Struthio camelus: one gene and its partner. The protein of the gene in region 2 purifies or fractionates together with the protein of the main gene of each other region. This does not show direct contact. Links are inferred from orthologs where the notes say so. Each region holds a gene or a part of one and is shown on either strand. Other genes may lie near its edges. The genes, in order: SNRPA1 and DHX15.

Region 1 (9,086 bases), on a different chromosome or scaffold from region 2:
GTGCAGTTCTGCTGTCAGACGTGCCTTATGGCTGGGTAAAGTTCAGCGGCTGCATCCAGGACTTCCACCAACTGCCAGCCCAGTTTTGCCAAATGTTTAGGACAAAAGTTTATTTTTTCAGCTTTGGGAGAGTTTACATGGTGCTGTCAAGCATTCGCTTGTAAGTTTGATAGCTTTAATATCACTGTCGGTGTGTTTCTATAGCGATATGTTAAGCTGAAAGTGGCTCATACCCTGAAAGATTAAGTCCTAAAAGGCACCAAACAAGCGGTGATATTAACACTCTCAAACGCCCCTTGTGAGTGGGGACCAATGCATGATCCATGTACCCGAGCTCGGTTCTTCGCAGAAACCCTACTGATTTGCCCGTTCAGAGTGGCTGGCAGGCGCCCACGCTGCAAAGGATGCAAGACTTCACACGTCTGCGAAGGAAGAGCCTTTTCTGGTTCGACTCTCAGTAGCCTTTTCTGCTAGGTGACAACTGATACAAATCCGCATTACCAAAAGCCAGCGCGCCGTGTTCTGTACATATGTAAAACGATGAATTGGGTAGTCTGCCCGAGCGGTGCTCTGAAGGCAGCTCTGGCACCCCTTTTCAGATTCAGTCGTTAGCTGTTTCTCTCTGGCCACGAGCATGGCGATAGCTGGAGATTTGAGGACCGAAGCAAGAGCTGATCTAAATGACTTTGCAGGCCTGTTAGCCCAGCGAGTCCATCGGGGCTTTGCTCAGCGTGCTATTGCACACAGGCGAAACCCCTGTGCCTACACAGAGTCCTGTGGACTCGGGGGGGTTCGTCCACATGGATCAGCCTGTGGGATCCCAGCCTTATCACTAAATGTATTTCCCTTCTGAAACTGCTAGTAAGCTGTTGATAGATTAAGTTCTGAAATGAGCTAGATCCTTCCTCTTTGAGCTAAGTGAGATGGTTTCTTAATTAATATCTTCCAGTATTTTGTATTATGATCCTTCCTGTATTTTTGGTGGGAATACTCGTCTCCCTCAAAAAATCCTCGTATTCATGGCAGTGATTTTTCTTGAGCATCTGTTTCCGAAAGGAGATATTCCAGGGATCCAGCCAGGAAACTCTAAATTCTACAAAACCCTCTCACAAAACAAACCTTTTCATGCTCTCTCTTAATAGTACATCATGTGGTGTTTATATAATTGTGTTTAAAATATCCTTGGCTATGTTGTTTTACAGATTTTTTAAAAAATAACTTATACAATCCTTGTTTTTCTCTGTAGATTATTTTTTGTATGGGGAGTGGGGAATCTTTTGTCTTACGTCCTTCTGCTCTTTCCAGCCTCTCTCCAACCTTGCAGAGATGCTCTTTTCACTAGACATATGTAAACAATTATTTCCTCTGCTGCATGACCTGATTTTCATTGTTAATAGTTTTAACAAGTTAAACCTTTTGCCAGTGAAATTCACAGTACAAACTATCACCAGTTCCTTATGGAGCTGGGATAATCCCTGCTTGGTTTTGGTTGCAACGATACGCACCCTGCCTGGGCTTGCCCACTAGAGCTTATCTCGGCCAGGTGAAGAGGGGAGAGCCAAACTGTCATCGGTCCTAACCCGAGTGGACCAGAACCAAGTAAAGATGGAGCTTTGGTGAACCGACCTTTAAGTTAATAAACTATTGATCTCCCCTTACAAAGGAATCTGTGCTTTTTCCAAATTCAGCGCAGCCACCACCCTGACCAGAGGCAGGTGAAGGCTGTGACGCACCACGTGTCTTTATTTTACTGGACAAGGAAGCTGTCCTGCTCAGAGCTCCTGATCGGCCCCAGAGCATCTGTGGGCAAGATTGCTTATGAACTGCATCTGCAAAAACTTAGACACGTTTATTCTCATAAAGGTCTTTTACCCTCAGAAGAAATGCACCTCCTGAATGTCCCCCGTAGTCACAGATCTCCAGAGCCCTCAAGTAGTATTGACGCTGTCGTTGCTTCATTATTAGCATTGATATTGCATGATCAGCCCGAGCTCCGCAGCCGCGGAGGGCTGTATCCCGCACGGAGCATCGCAGGCTGTCGGCACAGGCAGTGCTCTGCCTGTGGCTGGCTGCCACAGGGGCTCGCTCCCCTTTCCCACCCATCCGCGGCCCCCGCGAGCCCCCGCCACATCCCTGGTCCCAGCACAGAGCTGGTGCCCTCGGGGCCCACCTTCCCCCTTCCGCTAGTTGGTAAAGGGGAGGCGATGCTGGTGTCAGGGAGTGCAGGGAGCTCTGGAGCCTTTTGTTTGTTGTGTTGGTTTTGCAATGTTTAATCGGGGGCCAGGTGCCCAGGGTAGTCCCTGGGTATCTGGAATCGAGCCTTATAGGTGTGAAGAGAGAAAATAAATGAACCTTCCCCCCACAAGGGAAGGTGCTCTCTGAGCTGTGCTGCTGTGGGCTTGTGTGTCTTCTAGTTCTTCACGTTTATCAGATGATAAGCGTGAACTAATGAGATGGTTTACTGCATATCCTGATTCTTTCTGTTGCTCCAGCATCCCGCTTTTGGTCTTGGGCCAAACCAGAGGTCAGAAGTGGCGTGAAATGCTTCTGGCTTCTGCCATTTAGGCTGTAAAATGAAAAACTTCTAATTCTGTTGCTGTGTCATACAGTCAGAAATGGGAGCTGTGAATGAAGAGTACTGTGTCAGCTTTGGCTTTCAGTTCTCTGGCTCACAGTGGCTGCCTCTAAATACTGTTCCGTGGTATATTTAGATGTACTGAAATGCTAAAAAAAAAGAAAAGAAAAAGAAAAAAGATGTTTACCCTTACATCCTTGGCATAACTTAAAATACATACTGGGTGAAGCAATGCAATTTAAGATGACCGGTCCCCAGCGGTCTCAGCTTTATCCTGCTTCCGCTGCCCTTATGAATCCCAGTCTATGGTGGACAGTGCCAAGAGGACCAAATTCTGCACAGTTTGGCTTACACAACAAAATCAGTTTCCAGTATTTCCCAGGGCATTATCTAACTCCCTCAGAAATCATTCTTGGAAAGTAATAAAATTCAGATTATTTATCCAAGCTATTGCAGTGTTTGCTCAGAGCTATTAAAGTCCCTCTGACATCAGTATGCTCAAAGGATCAAAGTGGCTGTGTCTTCCAGATAAATGCCTATTTAGTCAATTTATTAAAGCACATTTCTCTCTTGTCTCTTGGCACCAGTGACAAATCTATAATAGCTGTTTTCTGGAAAAACCTCTTAGAGTAGCCTGACTCCTCGTTTGCTGTTTGGCTGCGAGGGCGCATCCACAGCCCTCTGCTGTTTCATAGCTAGCAAGTGGGGAACACACATCTTAAAAATCATTGCTTTGACTTTCCATTACAAAGAAGGGGCTTTTAAGAGCTCGTGTACAGCATCTGAAGCCAAGAACCTCTCTGCTCTCCAGCCTATAGCAGCTGCAAGGCTGAGGTGTAATACAGCTACACAGCGCTACGGCAGAAAGGTCCACATTTTGTTTAGCCTTGTCAGAGGCAGGACCTGCTTTTCAGGAGCTTGAATCTGCTTTTAATGAGTGCCTGATATGACTCAAGACTGTGCTGTCTTTACCACTGCGTGATTCCTGAGTCACCTACCACAAGTGCCACTAATTCTTTCTTTCTTCCTATGACATCTCTCTTGCTCTTTCTCTCCGAACGTATTTTGAGGAAATGCAGATGCTATGAACACCTGACTATACGTTCTCCTAAATAGCATCAGTTACAGATAGCAAGGAGGCTGTTTTAAGTAGGGTGCACAGGAGCTGCCTGACCCCAGCCCGAACAGAGCCAGCTCTGACGCCGTAATCAGGGGGAACGAGCCAGGCATCACGCACGGGCTGAGGGTGCCAGAGGCTCCCAAAAGAAGAGCTGGTGTGGTACCAAACGTGACTGCAGCATTTAACCCGCTATCAGATCCCCCGAGTTCACAGAAATGTCACAGCTGGTGAAAAAATCCTTCCCTAGATAGCAAGGGATGCAGAAATCACTCTGCCTCACCTGACTCAGGGAGCCTGGAGGGTCGGAGCGTCCCTGGGGCCGCAGGAGCGGTGGCCGCATGACCGCAGGATTTGGGGTCTGCTCAACCACTTCCCTTCCCGCGCCGCCTTCTCCCGCTGCCAGACGGCGGATTTGATGCAAAGGCCCAGCTCAAAGAGGACTGGCCTGGGGCAGCCGAGACCTGCACCAGACCGCTGGAGTTGGCGCCGCTCGGGAGCGCTAAGCCAGCCCAGCGTCAGGTCGGACCTAGCGGCCCGGGTCACCCTTAGAGCTGCGCCGGCAGCGCTGGGGAACAGCAACCAGGGCGGCGTTTCCGCGAAGGAGAAAGCGCGGGGAAGGCCCCGAGGGTGCAGCAGGCACGCGGCCGGCCCGGGCACCGTCCCCTCATCGCGTAAGAGCAGCCGCCCCGCGTCGGACCAGAGGTCCGGCACTCAGCAACGCGGCAGCTGCCCTCACGGCTCGCTGCACGGGGCCGCAACAAGCAGAGCCCGGGGGCTACCCCAGCTCTTCCTCACCGGTTTCCAAATCCCTAAGGCAGCTAAGGGCAGGATGGGGCGGCGAGGCGTGCAAAGCGCGTTTTGTCTCAAAGGCGAGGGCAGAGCATCCCGCGGGGTGCTCCCAGCCCGACCTGGCTTTGGTGAGAGCAGGAAGGTGCGTGGAAACGCCAGAGCAGCCACAGCGAACGCCGCAGCCCGCAGGCACTTAAGAGCAACCCTGCGTTCAGGAGCGCGGGCTGGTGCTGCCGCTTGGACGGAGGAGAGAAATTACACCCGGCGCTGTAATCAGCGCGGGCCGCTGTCCCGGCTGCTGAGCAGGAAGGGAGCAGCGTACGTTCCCACGAGCGCAGCGCCGCCGGCTAAACACCGAGGCGCCAACTCGGTCCCCGGCGCGAGGCCTGGACCTCCGCCGAGTCACCCCGTGCCCTGAAACGCCAGCCGCCGGGCGGGAAGCTCTGGTGAGCGGCTTCGCGCCGCTTTGGGACGCCGCTGGCCGCGGCGACTCCCCTCTCGCCCAGCAGAGCCAAGCTCCCCGCTCGTCCGGGAAAGCGCCGGGCGCCGCGGCCGGCTGCCCCCCGACTCGGCGTCTGGGGGGACCCCGCAGCTCGGCTGCCCTTCGCCCTGCCCCAAAGGGGAACCAGACCGCCGGGGAGACCGGCCTGCCCCGGGCCTGGCGGGGAGCGGGACCCCGCGGAGGCTTGGGGGAAGGCGGCGGCGGCCGGACATCGCTGGCCCGGGCCGAGGAGGCGCCGACGGGAGCCCGCAGCGGCCCCGGCGGCCAGGGCTGCCCCGCCAGGAGGCGGCGCACGAAGGGCGCTGCGAGCAGAGGGGAGCGCGGGTAAGGACGCGAGGTGCTCAAGGAGACGGGGAAAGGGGGGACGCCGCGGGGGCGCTGAGGAGGCGGCGGGCCGGTGGCTGCCGAGCCCCGCAGGCCTCCCTGCCCCGGCCTCCATCTTGGGGGTGGAGGAGGGGCTGCCCGCTCGCGGGCTCGGCGCTCGGCTGGCGGGGCTGCCCGCTCGCGGGCTCGGCGCTCGGCTGGCGGGGCTGCCCGCTCGCGGGCTCGGCGCTCGGCTGGCGGGGCTGGCGCGCGGGCCGGCGGCGGCGTGGCGGCGGCGGCGGCGGCAGGATGGTGAAGCTCACGGCGGAGCTGATCGAGCAGGCGGCGCAGTACACCAACGCCGTCCGCGACCGCGAGCTCGACCTGCGCGGTGCGCGCCGGGGAGGGGGGGGGGGACCGGGGCCGGGAGGGCCTGGGCCTGGGGGGGCTGCCGGGGCCTACGGCGGGACCGGGGCCTGTAACGGGGCGGGGGGGGGGAGGGGCCTGTCAGGGCCGGCGGTGGCAGGTGCGGCTGGGGGGGTCTGTGGGGGGGAGGCGGCGGGGGCCGTGGGGCGGCGGGGCCCTGACGGCGGGAATCGTCGGGCGGAAGGGCCGCGGGGGCCGTGGGGCCCTAACGGCGGGAGCCGTGGGATGGTGGTGCCGCGGGGGGTGTGGGGCGGAGGGGCCTCGGTGGCAGGGGCTGTGGCGGTGGGGCCTGTGGAGCGGAGGGGCTGTGGAGGCGGGGGCTGTGGAGCAAAGCAACTGCGGGGGGTGTGGGGTGGGGGGCCTCGGTGGTGGGGGCCGCGGGGCAGAGGAACCGCGGGGGGTGTGGGGTGGAGGGGCCTCGGTGGTGGGGGCCGTGGGGCAGAGGAACCGCGGGGGGTGTGGGGTGGAGGGGCCTCGGTGGTGGGGGCCGTGGGGCAGAGGAACCGCGGGGGGTGTGGGGTGGAGGGGCCTCGGTGGCGGGGGCCGTGGGGCAGAGGAACCGCGGGGGGTGTGGGGTGGAGGGGCCTGGGTGGCAGGGGCTGTGGGGCAGAGGAACCGCGGGGGGTGTGGGGCGGAGGGGCCTGGGTGGCAGGGGCTGTGGGGCAGAGGAACCGTGGGGGGTGTGGGGCGGAGGGGCCTGGGTGGCAGGGGCTGTGGGGCAGAGGAACCGTGGGGGGTGTGGGGCGGAGGGGCTGTGGCGGTGGGGGCTGTGGGGCAAAGGAACTGCGGGGGCCGTGGGGCGGAGGGATCATGGGGCGGGAGCCGTGGGACAGAGGGGCTGCAGGGGCGGCGGTGGTGGGGCCATGGGGCAGAGGGACCTTTGCTTTGTTGTGCTGTCCAGATGCCATCTAACCCCTGTCTGACGCTTTCTCCCCAAGGTTATAAAATCCCTGTTATTGAGAACTTGGGTGCCACTTTGGACCAGTTCGATGCAATTGATTTCTCTGACAATGAGATCCGTAAACTGGATGGGTTCCCTCTGTTGAGAAGGCTGAAAACTCTTCTGATGAATAACAACAGAATTTGGTAAGTGGTTGTACTTCAGCCAGATGGGCAGTGGAAAATGCTCTAGGGAAGCAAAGAATCCCGAGTGTGTGTCCATCTTTCAGTGGCGGGTGGTTGTAGAAGACCTGTTTGTTTCAATGAAAGAAATTGGCACCCAACAGCACGGAGTACTCTTGAAGGCCTGTTCAATTTGCCTGCTTCGTGCATTGCAAAAATCTGTCCAAGATCAGTATTCGTCTTTCAGACAGGACAGTAGGAGGTAGAACTTGGAATTTGCCCAGAGCCAGAGACTTGGGAGCTCATTTGTCATCCCTGTGCTTAGGCGATAGCAAAAATAAATCAAGCTGTCCTAGGGAGACTGGGGATACCTGCAAGTGCGTGCATATGTTGCATCTAATGTTTTTATGTTGATGCCAACCCAAACTTCTGATAGTGTCAGACTTGGTTGTTTTAAAATTAGGTACTCTAGATTACAGTCTTTCTATGCGTCTTTGCACTGTTGTTAGTTTCCAACCTTAATAAACCTTTGGTTTCTGTTCTCCCTTAGTCGGATCGGTGAAGGACTTGAACAGGCCTTACCCTGTCTCAGGGAGCTCGTTCTTACCAACAATAACATTGCTGAATTGGTAAGCTATGAGTACTGAACGAATCTTAACAACCTTAAATTATATATGTATGCCATCTTTATAATAACCTTTTTCCTCTATTTAGAAAAATATCATATCATTTTAGTAGTAGTTGTGATGTATTTATTTTACAGAATATGATGTGTGGCATGCAGTGGAACAGTAGTTTCAAAATCTTAGTGGCTTTCCTGTTAAATTAATTGCAGTAATTCTAAAATGGATATGAGATTCTAGGAAGAGCTTTGAGAAAAGAGATTTCATTACTTTGTAATTAAATATTTTTAGCTCTAGTTTTGAACTGAAGAAGGAAAGTTTCTGATTCTCAAAAAAAAAAGTGAAATACTCTTTTAAAACTTATTTCAGGTCACTTATACCAAAGTAGGAATCTCAAGCACAGTATTTCTTACAGTCTCCCTTTGAGTTACATAATAGGTAACAAAGAGCATTCGTGTAACTTCTTTGTAACTGCATTGTTATACTCACAAAAGTTAGGCAGATCTGAGTCTTTTATGTAGAATTTGAACAGAGTTAATAGCTAGTATGTCTGCTTACAGTTTTCTATCTCTTACTTCCGCGTTAAGACTGAAGCTTACTTTGTTGCTGTTTCTTTTCTTTCATATTTTTTGAATGTATGTTTTTCATAGTGGCAGTCAAGACTCTTAAGGGCAGCTGGCTGTCTTAAATTGTGTACAGTGTAATTACTTGAAACATTATTGACTTAGTAGAGTTGTCACATCTAGTAGTACAAATACTCCTCTATTTGCCAGTGTTTTCAAAAAGTAAGCTTGAAATGAATGTGAGGGTTTTTTTTTTTGTCACTGCTTGTGTGTCAGAGTAAAGGCTGCTAAAATTTTAAGGACTTTGTTCTCATTAAATGGATTTAAGGTTTCGTACTGTTTTCCCATTATGTAGGGTGAACTGGATCCATTATCAACTATTAAAACGTTGACTTATCTGAGGTATGTAATCTTGAAAAGAAAAGCTATTCTTTCTGTACTCCCCTATTGGCCTAGCTCTTTATTTCAATCTGGAATGCTCTCCTTTTTCTGGGCTGGAACAGGTTCTTTATGCTTAAAAGTTGAATCAATGAACAGCTTTTCCCCTAGACTTCAGGAATACATGGTATTTCATGAGCAAGACTGTATATTACTGACAGACTGTAAAACGATGAGAAGGAGATGTTACGTTTCTATAAACTGATAGACAAGCACTGCAGTAAACTTCAGCTTTGAAAAAATAAAAACTACAGTTTTAAACTGTTATTACAAGTACTCTAAAATGCAGGTGAGTTTTCAGTGCAAGGACTTTTCAGTGAGTAACATTACATTCAGCATGAGAGACAAAAAGAAAAAAAAAGACCCCCATCTGTCAATCCTACGATTGTTTTATTGATTCGTGTTTAGTTAGGAAGTGTGAGGGATTCATTATTTGTATTTTTAGAGATGTTTTGAGGTTGTTCTTTATGCTCTCCTGCAGCAAAATCCACTTAATTGTTAAAATACTTTAAACCTTTAAGTGCAAGTTTTCACTATAGTTTCCATAATATCAGAGAACACTGTTCCTATGCATATTTAATGACGTTATTTATTGTCTCTTATAGCAGAAGGTACGTTAATGTATTTTAGGTATATTAATAAATTTTAATATAAATAACTTTTATTGTAATAAGAATTTTTTTAT
Region 2 (9,875 bases):
AGCAGATGAGTTTATCTTCACATATGTTTCAAAATGCATAAGCCAGCACCAGTAACAAAACAAAAAGACCCATCCTCTGTTGCCAACTTTATCCTTGTGTTCACAGCAGCACTTCAGTGGCCCTGTAGAAAACAAGCCCTTCCTAGTCCATCTCCACTAAAACTAATTCTAATATAGATCAGTTCTCTAATCTAATCTCCCACAAGCTTACAGCATGAAAAGAGAGGGGGCAGCCCTGTCGTCTTTTGTGATGGCAGTGACTTGTGTGGGTTTAAAGTATAGATATTATCTCAAGAACACTGAGCTGCAGTAAATAAACTACAAATATGATCCAGAATTGAAAGTCTTGTTAATCCTCCATTTCTGTTACTTCATTTAACTTACAGCTGCCCAATCCCGCATTTAAGAAAACAAACTTATCAAGTTTTATTTACATCTCAGAAGGCAAAAACTCTAATTAGAGGTTAACCAAGGGAGTTGTTTTTTCTTTATTGTTTCAAAAAGGTTTAAGAAAGATAGAAATGTGGCAACTACATGTCAGCACAGAAAAACATGACATACAACATGCCCTCAAATTTACTCTCTAACATTCATTGGTCATTTATTGGTTTGTTCTACAGCAGCACTTTTTATCCTAAAAGGGCTTCCCAATCTCCTCTTGGTATTACTAAAACTTGGCAGACACATCCAGACTTCTGGGATCAACCATGGAAAAGGGGAATGATGTTCTGTTCCAAAAAGATGCTGCCTGCTTCCTCATCACTGACAAGTTCGAAGTAAGTGAAAGAGTGCTTCCAGATGAGCATTTTAATGACTAAAGTACAAAACTGAATTCTAGCTCATATCTTTTGAGGAGTGATCACTCAGACTTTGGTGAGATATATACTGGACATGTTAAGGTGTCATATGAACTTACTGAACCTCCTGTAAAATGCAACTTGATAATTCTTCATTTAAGAACGGTCACGTTTAACTTACTCTTCATCATCTTAGAGAAGCCTGATTTTGATTTAATCTAATTCATCTTGCTCACAAACTCCAATTCCATAACCAATTTTTTTTGTAAGCAGTCTCACCTATCAGCTTTCACATATTTAATACATACATATACATACAGATACAAAAGAAACATAACAGTCACTAAGTCATAAGATGAAAAGCACTTAAACCAAAAAGAGAAACACAGGACATAAGGTGAAACCACAAATCACTGTTAAATAGCCTAAACATTTCTAATAGAACATTACTATTATTCTTTCATTACTAAAAAGACACTTGCAAAAGTCTGCAGTTCATCCAAAAAAAAAAAAAAAACAGAGTTAAAAGAGAAATTCTGTTCTGTATGTATGAAAACAGAAGGTATAGTAAGTCAGAGTGATACATCCCACTCACACAAGCACTCTGATATTATGCAGCTACTGAAGTAGCTTAGAAAAAAATTAGCAGATTTAGACACTAACATACTTTACATAGCAACATTGTAACCAGAGACTTCCCATACAATTCACATATTTCAAGAAGTTTTTTTTGTTCAACAGTGATACATAAAGGCTGAAAGAAAATAGATATTGCGCCCATACTCAAGAAGTTTACATGGGCGACTACAAGCCTATTGGCCTGACAGCACTCCCATGCAAAAGTGCACATATTAGTACGTGACCTCAATTAAAAAGGAGGTAAAAAAATACAGGGTATCTTGATACAATATTTAGATTACAGTTAGATAGTCAGTAAGGTACAATCACTATTTCTGTATTAGCTCCCTGAATACATGCCACTTCAAATTTAGCTTAATCCAGTTCTAAAATCAACTACATTGCATAAAGGTGCTCTCTGCACAGAAGATATGTAAATACATGCTATTAACAAGAAACTCTCTGCATATCCCTTAGCCCTCTATAACCTGTAAAACTTAACAACCCTATGGATAAATCAGGACAATGTAAGATTAGTATGGCATGTGTTAGATGAATTAAGATCTCAAGTAATAATCATACTCAATAATTCTGCTTATAGCAACTGGTTCTTGGTCTCATGCCATTTAATGCTTTTGTTGGCAAAAGGAGCACAAAACCAGAGCTTATATAGGGTTTTTTTTTTTTTTAAAGGTGTAATAAAGATCAAACACTTGTGGTAAAAAAGTTATACCACTGCTGGGAACCAATTATAGCATATACCAAATGGGAAGACTATGGCTTCAGAGTGATAGTGATACTCAATAAAAATAGTACCAAAAATAAAACAAAAAACAAAAAACCAAAACCCACAACCCTACAACATACAAACTAGGAAACACTAATAACGATCATCTACACAACAATATCAATTGTACTAGGTTCAAATTATGCCAAGTTTTGGCGTCACCATTTCAAGATGTTACAAAAATCTGTATATACAAAAAAACTGTATATGTATGACTCTCTGCATGCACAAAGAGCTATACTAGCTTTTGAAAAATCAGGGGAACACACCTTGAGGTAAGCTGCTCAATCCATTTCATTAAAAAAAAAATAGATTATGGTGATCCTACATACATAAACAGATGTTCAATAAAAACAATCACTTCACTTTAGCTGATGAAAATATATCAAACTCTAGTAGCTAAAAATTCAAGCTACTCAAGTTCACACTTAAAGAAAATGCAAGTTCTATTTCAACAGCAAAGACAGTTTATCAATGAACACTAACTGCTGTGGCTGATTTTTAACAATCACCAGTTTTGTAAACAATGTAAGGCATTTATTTTTCTAGGATAAATGTCATAGCCCAAAACAATGATGCTGGACTTTAGGAAAGAATTAATTCAGGAAAGTCTTCTGGGCACCACCAAAAGAACAGACAGATAAAACAGAATACTTTTTTCTGGCCCTTTACATTCCAGAAGTCTGTTTTAAGAGTCCCCCACAGAAGTGGGGCAAAAGGAGATTCAGTGGAGGCACTGAAACCACTGTGTACGAAAGGACAGCACGAGCCCACTGTTCGAGTTCCTGCAGTTTAGGGGAGGGAGTTATAACTTCCTTTCCCTCCTCCCCAAAAAACCCACCCCACACCGACTTTTAGTTTAAATCTGCCATTCACCTGTTGGTTACTGAGTTAAAGCTGTTAACAAAGGAATAATGTTTCTGCCAGCTTAGGTACTAGTTACACAGGCTGAACAAGCCTCACGCTGACCTCTAGGACCAGACTGGCCAGACCCCTCAAGCCACAGACGGGAGGATACAAACAAACAGGGGCAGAGGGAGGGAAAGAGGGTGAGACATACGAAAAAAAAAAAAACAGAGAAACAGAGAAAGGAGGAGAGATGAAAGAGGCGCACACAAAGCCGGGCGCTGGGGAGCGGGCCGAGCAGCGCGCCGCCCCCGGCTCCGCCGCGACGCGAGCCCAACCCAGCTCGCCCAAGCGGCTAGGCCTGCGGCTTCCTCTCTTTCCCCCTCCCAGCACCGCCGCACGAGGCCCTCCCCGCCCGCTCCCTGCCATCACCCTGCCGCCATCCGCCCCCCCGTCCCGCCGAGGGGCCCGGTCCCGCCAGAAAGGCCGACCCTGGGCCTAGGGCCAGAGCTCAGAGGGAGCCGCCGAGGCTCCCGGGCCTGCCCAGACGAGGCGGCGGCGCGGGGGGTCCGCCATGCGGCCTCCGCTGCCTCAACCCCTCCTTCCACCTCCCACCGCGGCCGCCCCGCGACCCGAGGCGGCCCAGCCCCGCGGGGAACGGCCAGAGCCGAGGACGGGCAGACGATTACGCGGGAGCCGCCGTAATCTCCCACCCGCCGCAGGCCGCGCGGCCCGGGCCTCGCCGTCCCTCACCCGTCGGCGGCGCGTTTCTTGCTGGAGGTGTAGTCGTCTCCCAGGTCTAGGCGGTGGCGCTTGGACATGGCGGCGGCGGCCGGCCGGAGGAACGGGCGGGCGGGCGGCCGCGCGATGCGGCGGGAGGGCGGCCGGGGCTGGGTGCGGCGGGGCGCTCTCCGCTCCTCGAGCAGCAGCAGCGGCGGCGCCGCGAGGCCAGGCACACCAACTAAAATGGCGGCCGGAAGGAAGCGCCGGGGCTGCGCGAGACACTGGCGCGAGCCGCCGCGCGCCCGCGGAAAGGGAGAGGGCGGGGCGGGCGCGGGCGCGCGCGCGGCGGGTCCGCCTGCAACGGCCGCCCCGGCCCCACCCCCGCCCCCGGCCGCGGCGCTCTAACGGCTGCCGCGGGGCAACGGCCGCGGCTCGGCGCTGCGAGCGGCGTCCGGCCTCCCCGCTGCCGGTGAAACGGCGGAGAGCGTTGCCTGGGCGGCCCAGGCGCCTTCCCTAGCTCATCAGAGCGGCTCCAGCGCCCTGTTAGGGTCCGGCAGCCCGGGTGCTGCTGCTGATGCCCTGAGAGCAAAACTCGTTTCCCAGCCGGTCGTGCCCCTGTGGGCGCGCGTGCCCTGGGACAGGCGTTTCCCGGGAGGGTGTTTAAACCAGATAACTGTATTGGCAAACACCTATTTTAGGCTGCCACAGACTTCCCTAGCATTGGGTGGGGAAGAGTATGATCCTTCACATGCCATCTGCAGTAGCAGAAATGATTAGAAAACCGGTGGCATCTAAACTGCAAGCTATAAAAGCACATACTATTTACTACTTCACATCTTTAACTACTCAGACATCAAAGGTAGGTATTACTAGAAGTATGTTTTGGGAGAAAAGTCCAAGTGCCATTCAGAGACCCAGAAACAGAGTTGCTAGTTTCTGCCACTTTCTCTTGTGCTTTGTCTTTGGTGTCTGTGCAAGAAGATACAGTACAAGGAAATCCCATGTTTGCAATACAAACCCCAGAGGACCTGTCTGCTGTGACAAAGTTTTCTAAGGGTGAGCACAGCTACACTGGCATTTAGTAGAACAAATCCTAAAACCAAAATAACACACGAGTGAAAATGCTATTTTCTCGGTATAGTTACAGATTTTTGCACGTAGCTGTAATGATTACTTTTCACTGGCAGAAGTGCCAGCAGAAGCCTGTAGCTCAGGCCTGCTCCAAGAGACTTGTTTCTTGTGCCCCTGAACTGTGTTCCTCACCTGCTAGCCTGCACACACACTTTTTAAGAACTGGGTTAACCATCCACACATACAGAATTTGTACTCTAACTGCAGGCACAGATGAGCCTGGGCAGGAGAAGGTGGAGTCAGGCAAACATTGAGAGGCCTGTAACAACCAAGGCATCAGAAAGCAGGCTGCCCCCATGCTGGTAGAAGCACACTCAGTGCTTGACTGACCCACCTCTGCTCCCACACACCCACTTCCTTCAAGCCATTCCTGCTCTATCTCAGCGCTAGGTCTCAGCAGCTTTCAAGTGCAGTCCCTTGATACTTTACCATAGCTCATAAAAGCCCATCTCTAACTTCTTAACTCTAGCTTCGTTAAGAGGTACAATTCTTGATATATCCAGTCACTATCTAGAGATAACATCACTTGCTGGACACCATCTCCACTCGTCCTGCCCTATCTCACGCTCCCCCAGCACCTTCCTAGAGATTTAACTTCATATTTTAGATCAGTAGTAGTTTTAAGATGCAGTTTGAAAGCACTGCTATTGGTATAGCTTTCCACCTAGACAAGTGTTGAAAGACATGTGCTTTGCAAGTCTTGCTCCCCGTTGCCCTTCACAACCTTCTTGCCAGAGATTACTACAACCATTACTGAACTACTTGCATGAGCACTCCCCAGTCATTTTGGTCAAAAGCAGTCAGAATAGTTCAGATATTTTAAATACTAAATCTTTGTTAACGCTATCTGACTATGAGGGCAAGGGAGCATTCACATAACAGCTCTGCTAGCAAACCTGGCAGTGGTCAGAAAGGAGCATCCAGCAGCAGTGACCTAGTAGTACAGCTAGCTCAGCAAGGGAATGTTTATCCATAGCTTCATGTCCCGAAGATTTTCTGGAGTTCTATCAGAATAACTACTAAAATAGTTAGTTCTTGCCGTATATTCTTTAGTAGAAGAGCATTCCTGTTCCTAATTTTGGATAATATGACAAAATGGTATCCTGATCTCTGCTAGAGTTCTAGAGACCACTATAATGAAAATACCATTTTCCTGCTTAGCATTATCAACTGAAATAAATATTTCTTGGACCTTGATCTCGAGTTTTGCGTGCAAAGCCAGGAGTCATTTTCCAAGTTACATTACAAAAAAATGAAAGAGGAACCTATTTTAGAGGCTGCCAGAGGATAAGTATTACAGTAGTCTCTATCCCAAATATCAAGATTATCTGAGGTGCTCTGGTAGAATACAGAGCTGTGTTCACAGAATGCAGCTAGGGAAGGCTTTCTACACATCTCACAAAGTGGCTTTTAAATGATGGCTGTCTTAAACAAACGATTACTGAGATAGAGTGTCCGAGGAGAAGACAATTAGCTTATCAGAGAAGGGAGCCAAAAAACAATGCAGTGGCTGTGTCTCCCTGGAAAATGGAAAAAGAGAGGAAGAGGAAAGCATTATATGTATTAGATGGGATGAGCAGCTACCACTGTGCAGCGCTATGTGGTTCTCGGAAGACAGCAACTCTTCCACATCTTGATTATGCACAGCATCTCCCTATGAACAGCAGCATAAAGCCACTCAAGGTGTTGCTGCAAGTTACCACGCTGCCAACACCAGGGCAAGATTCTGCTTTAGAAGGCGGTACAAGAGGAAGTCTCAGCAGATATGACAGCCTGAAAATGATCTTGTGGCCGAATCTCCCCAGCAAGTGCAAAAAGAAGGGAGAAAGATCCAGTGTGTCAGCTGGGGTCAGCAAATACTAGACTGCTATGCCCAGGCTGATATCCCACGTACTAATTATCTATGTATTAACGTATTTCCAAGCTACCTGAACAGAACCTCCACTCAACTGTGCTTTGAGCTGTATGACTGCATAATAAATAATCTGGTCTTATCCCAAAGAGTTTGCAATCTAAGGCCTTCATCCTGCAAGCACACACATGCCTTATTTTACTAATGCAAATAATCCTTTTGACTTCAAAGAGATTACTAAGAGTAGCAAAATTAAGCATGTAGGTAAGTGTTTACAGGATCACAGTCTAAATATAAGATGAGACAGTAGGAAAAAAAATGATCAGGAAACACATAATGACAAAGTGATAAGCATTAAATTCCTAAAGGATGAAAGGAATGTGTAAAATAGGGCACATTTAAGCACATTTTCTGCCTTTTCAAAGGCATTTGTTAAATGCAAGTTTGTTTTTTTTTCCCTGAGAAGTCTTTCATATTCATCTATAAGAATGAAAATCTTAGATTACTGAAACAAGAGATGCTTATATTAGTTGCCATTTGACCATTTATTCTTTAACTCTCCATCTATTACCCTAGCTAAACAATGCATGCTCCTTGGTATCAAAATCTTCTTAGGCAATTTCCAGTGAGAAGAGTGCTTTGAGCGTGGGCATACTTACTGTGCTATTTGGGTTGGAAGGAGCATTAACGTCTAAAACTGATACAGTGACTTAGGAAAATAATGTTATCTCTAAAATATTATATTATTCTGATTGTGCATTGCGTTCACCCCGGAAGACTAATCGTGAGTCTTAGACAAGCTTTATATCAGAGACCTACTTTGGAACCAGTGCGGTTTCTGACAGAGAAGTGTGGCAGATTTAGGTGTCACAATTTCAGATATTACTGCCGCTAGCTAATTGTTTCACTCATTTGCTAGAGATTGCCAAGTCTACAAAGGGCAGGAAAATATGATATATCCAGTCTAGCATTTCAGTAGAAATATACCTTCCTCAGTGGTTTAAGCCAAAACAGGCAACTGAAGTGAATCCACACATCTTATTCTTTCGCTGCTGCAATGCTGGCAGTAGTAACGAGCAGGATCGCAGGGCAGACAGCTAAGGGAGGTTCAGTCTGCTAAAGCTTGAGTGTTAGACCCCTACAACCTCTGCAGTATATATTTCTTGTATGGCTGGCTGGAGGTAGGCTCAAAGCTACAGGCTGTACGCTCCCTATGCTATAGCAGCACTTACTCTGCCAGTACTTTTATTTATGGTTTGCTTTTTAAAAACAACTAAAAGCCTAACCCATCTTTTAAAAAATCTATAACACATAATATTAAAGAAGTTCCTGCAAACTAATTTTAAAATATTAAACCTGGAAGTAGTCCTGATAATTGTCACTGCAATCTGCTTTAAAAAATAAATATATACATGGGTAACGCCCCTAGTAAAATACCCAGGAGCCTTAAATACAAACACCCATTACAGACAAGCTCTTCTTCTGCCCTCCCCCCACCCAAGCCTAATGTGAGTAAATGGAGCTTATCCTTAGGTTCTGTCATATCAGCAGAAGAATACTTCAGACAAGAGCCCATAATCAGAGTATGTTTAAAGACCTCAGACTTCCAAATTTTTCAAATTTAAAAATATGAAAATGAATACATCAAATGATCTCAGTTTCTGCAGTGAAGAAAAGAGGTAGCTTCTATGTAATTACAGAAACTAAACTTTGCAACACTTCAAATATATATAAATCAACTTTGAATTACTCTGAGAAGTACACTTTAGGAAGCTAGCAGCACTGCCATGACAGCTGACTTTATCAGCAGTAAGATACTGTCTGAAATTTGTGAACGGTCATCAAACATCATCCCATATAGAACACATCACATCAATTCAGTTTGGAGGTCAAAAAGGTCAGGATGATTTTAGTAGTGTTTCACAAAGAAGGAAAAAAAAGAGAGAGAGTTTGCAATCACTGTGCAAGCACAGATGGGAAAAATCACTTCCGGCTATCAAAGCTACCTTAAACACCAGAAGCAAATGACTCAGGTAAGCTACCATACCTCATTCACCAAGGAGGAATATGCATCTCTTCATAAAGGGATAGATGCCAGGTCACCAGCCCAATGGCATCCCCTCTATCTTAGTTGGGTAGCATTACAAAGAGAAAAAATGTAACCAAGTACCTGAAGTCTTCTGAGAAAATTAAGACTGTGCACTGGATGGGTGCAACAGAAAGAGACACCACCAAGTAAAGACATAAGAAAGTAAAATGCTGAATTTTAACCCGCCCTTCCCTGCAGCCTGAACTATAAAGTGCACATTCTCTAATGTTATTTAAGAAGTGTTTTTAAAAGTAGCTGTATCTCTTAGAACTTCAACCGGAGGGACAATTCACTTTTGAAAAAAAAAACCCATTCTCTAAAAGGAAAGATATTGTTGCCTACAACTGCCTGCTATCCTACCGCTCTCAGTCATTTGCTAAGACCTTAGGTCACCTTTAGTCCACTCAAAGAAACCTTGCAAGAGTAGATGTTTGTTAAGTACTTTGAATTTTAAGCACTCTGAATTTAAGCTGAAGTGATGGCATAAACGCAAAATATCATCACTGAGTAAACTAGATTATATATCTAATTTACATTGATTCTACATTGAATTTACATGTTTTGGTAGGAGCACTTCTTTTGTGAAAGTTTGATTCTTTCTTGCTTTTTCTTTGCAAGTATTTCATGTCCACAAAGGGAAAAAATGCATTATCTTGGTATATACTTTTCATTCCTTTTGTATTCAGTACAATCATCTTTTATTCACTATTGAGTTAGCTCCTTAAGACTTTTTAAAAGTCCTCTCTTTTAATACAGTCTATAAAACACTCATATCCATGCGTAAGGTTAGGCATGCTGGATCTACCAGTGGTACAGCTTCACGCTGAGTATATGTGTAAGTGTAAGACACTTGTTATTGGCTTAGTTTCTATTGCCTGTATAGAATATACAAAGTTCCAAAAAGTAAAAATCACAAAAGCTCCTGAGGTGCGAAATAGGTGACGTAATAACCTCTACTTGATGGGTTATTAATGTACAAAGTGTTAACAGCTAGTCCTTATCTTCATAATAAGCCCCAGACTATATAACAAA

The links.
Region 1: the proteins of DHX15 (region 2) and SNRPA1 fractionate together in Homo sapiens (co-fractionation; 3 studies listed by BioGRID and IntAct, with this or other methods). This does not show direct contact. The link is inferred for Struthio camelus from reciprocal best matches to the Homo sapiens genes DHX15 and SNRPA1.

Annotation. Positions count from the first base shown.
Region 1 is NC_090953.1:4,273,830-4,282,915, forward strand, and holds the start of SNRPA1 (U2 small nuclear ribonucleoprotein A'), read left to right. Parts: upstream 1-5,518; 5' UTR 5,519-5,598; coding exon 5,599-5,680; intron 5,681-6,653; coding exon 6,654-6,801; intron 6,802-7,327; coding exon 7,328-7,406; intron 7,407-8,318; coding exon 8,319-8,365; intron 8,366-9,086. Other genes in the region: PCSK6 (proprotein convertase subtilisin/kexin type 6), read left to right, coding at 1-39. UniProt on the Homo sapiens protein: Involved in pre-mRNA splicing as component of the spliceosome. Associated with sn-RNP U2, where it contributes to the binding of stem loop IV of U2 snRNA.
Region 2 is NC_090945.1:67,271,818-67,281,692, reverse strand, and holds the start of DHX15 (ATP-dependent RNA helicase DHX15), read right to left. Parts: upstream 4,143-9,875; 5' UTR 3,870-4,142; coding exon 3,802-3,869; intron 1-3,801.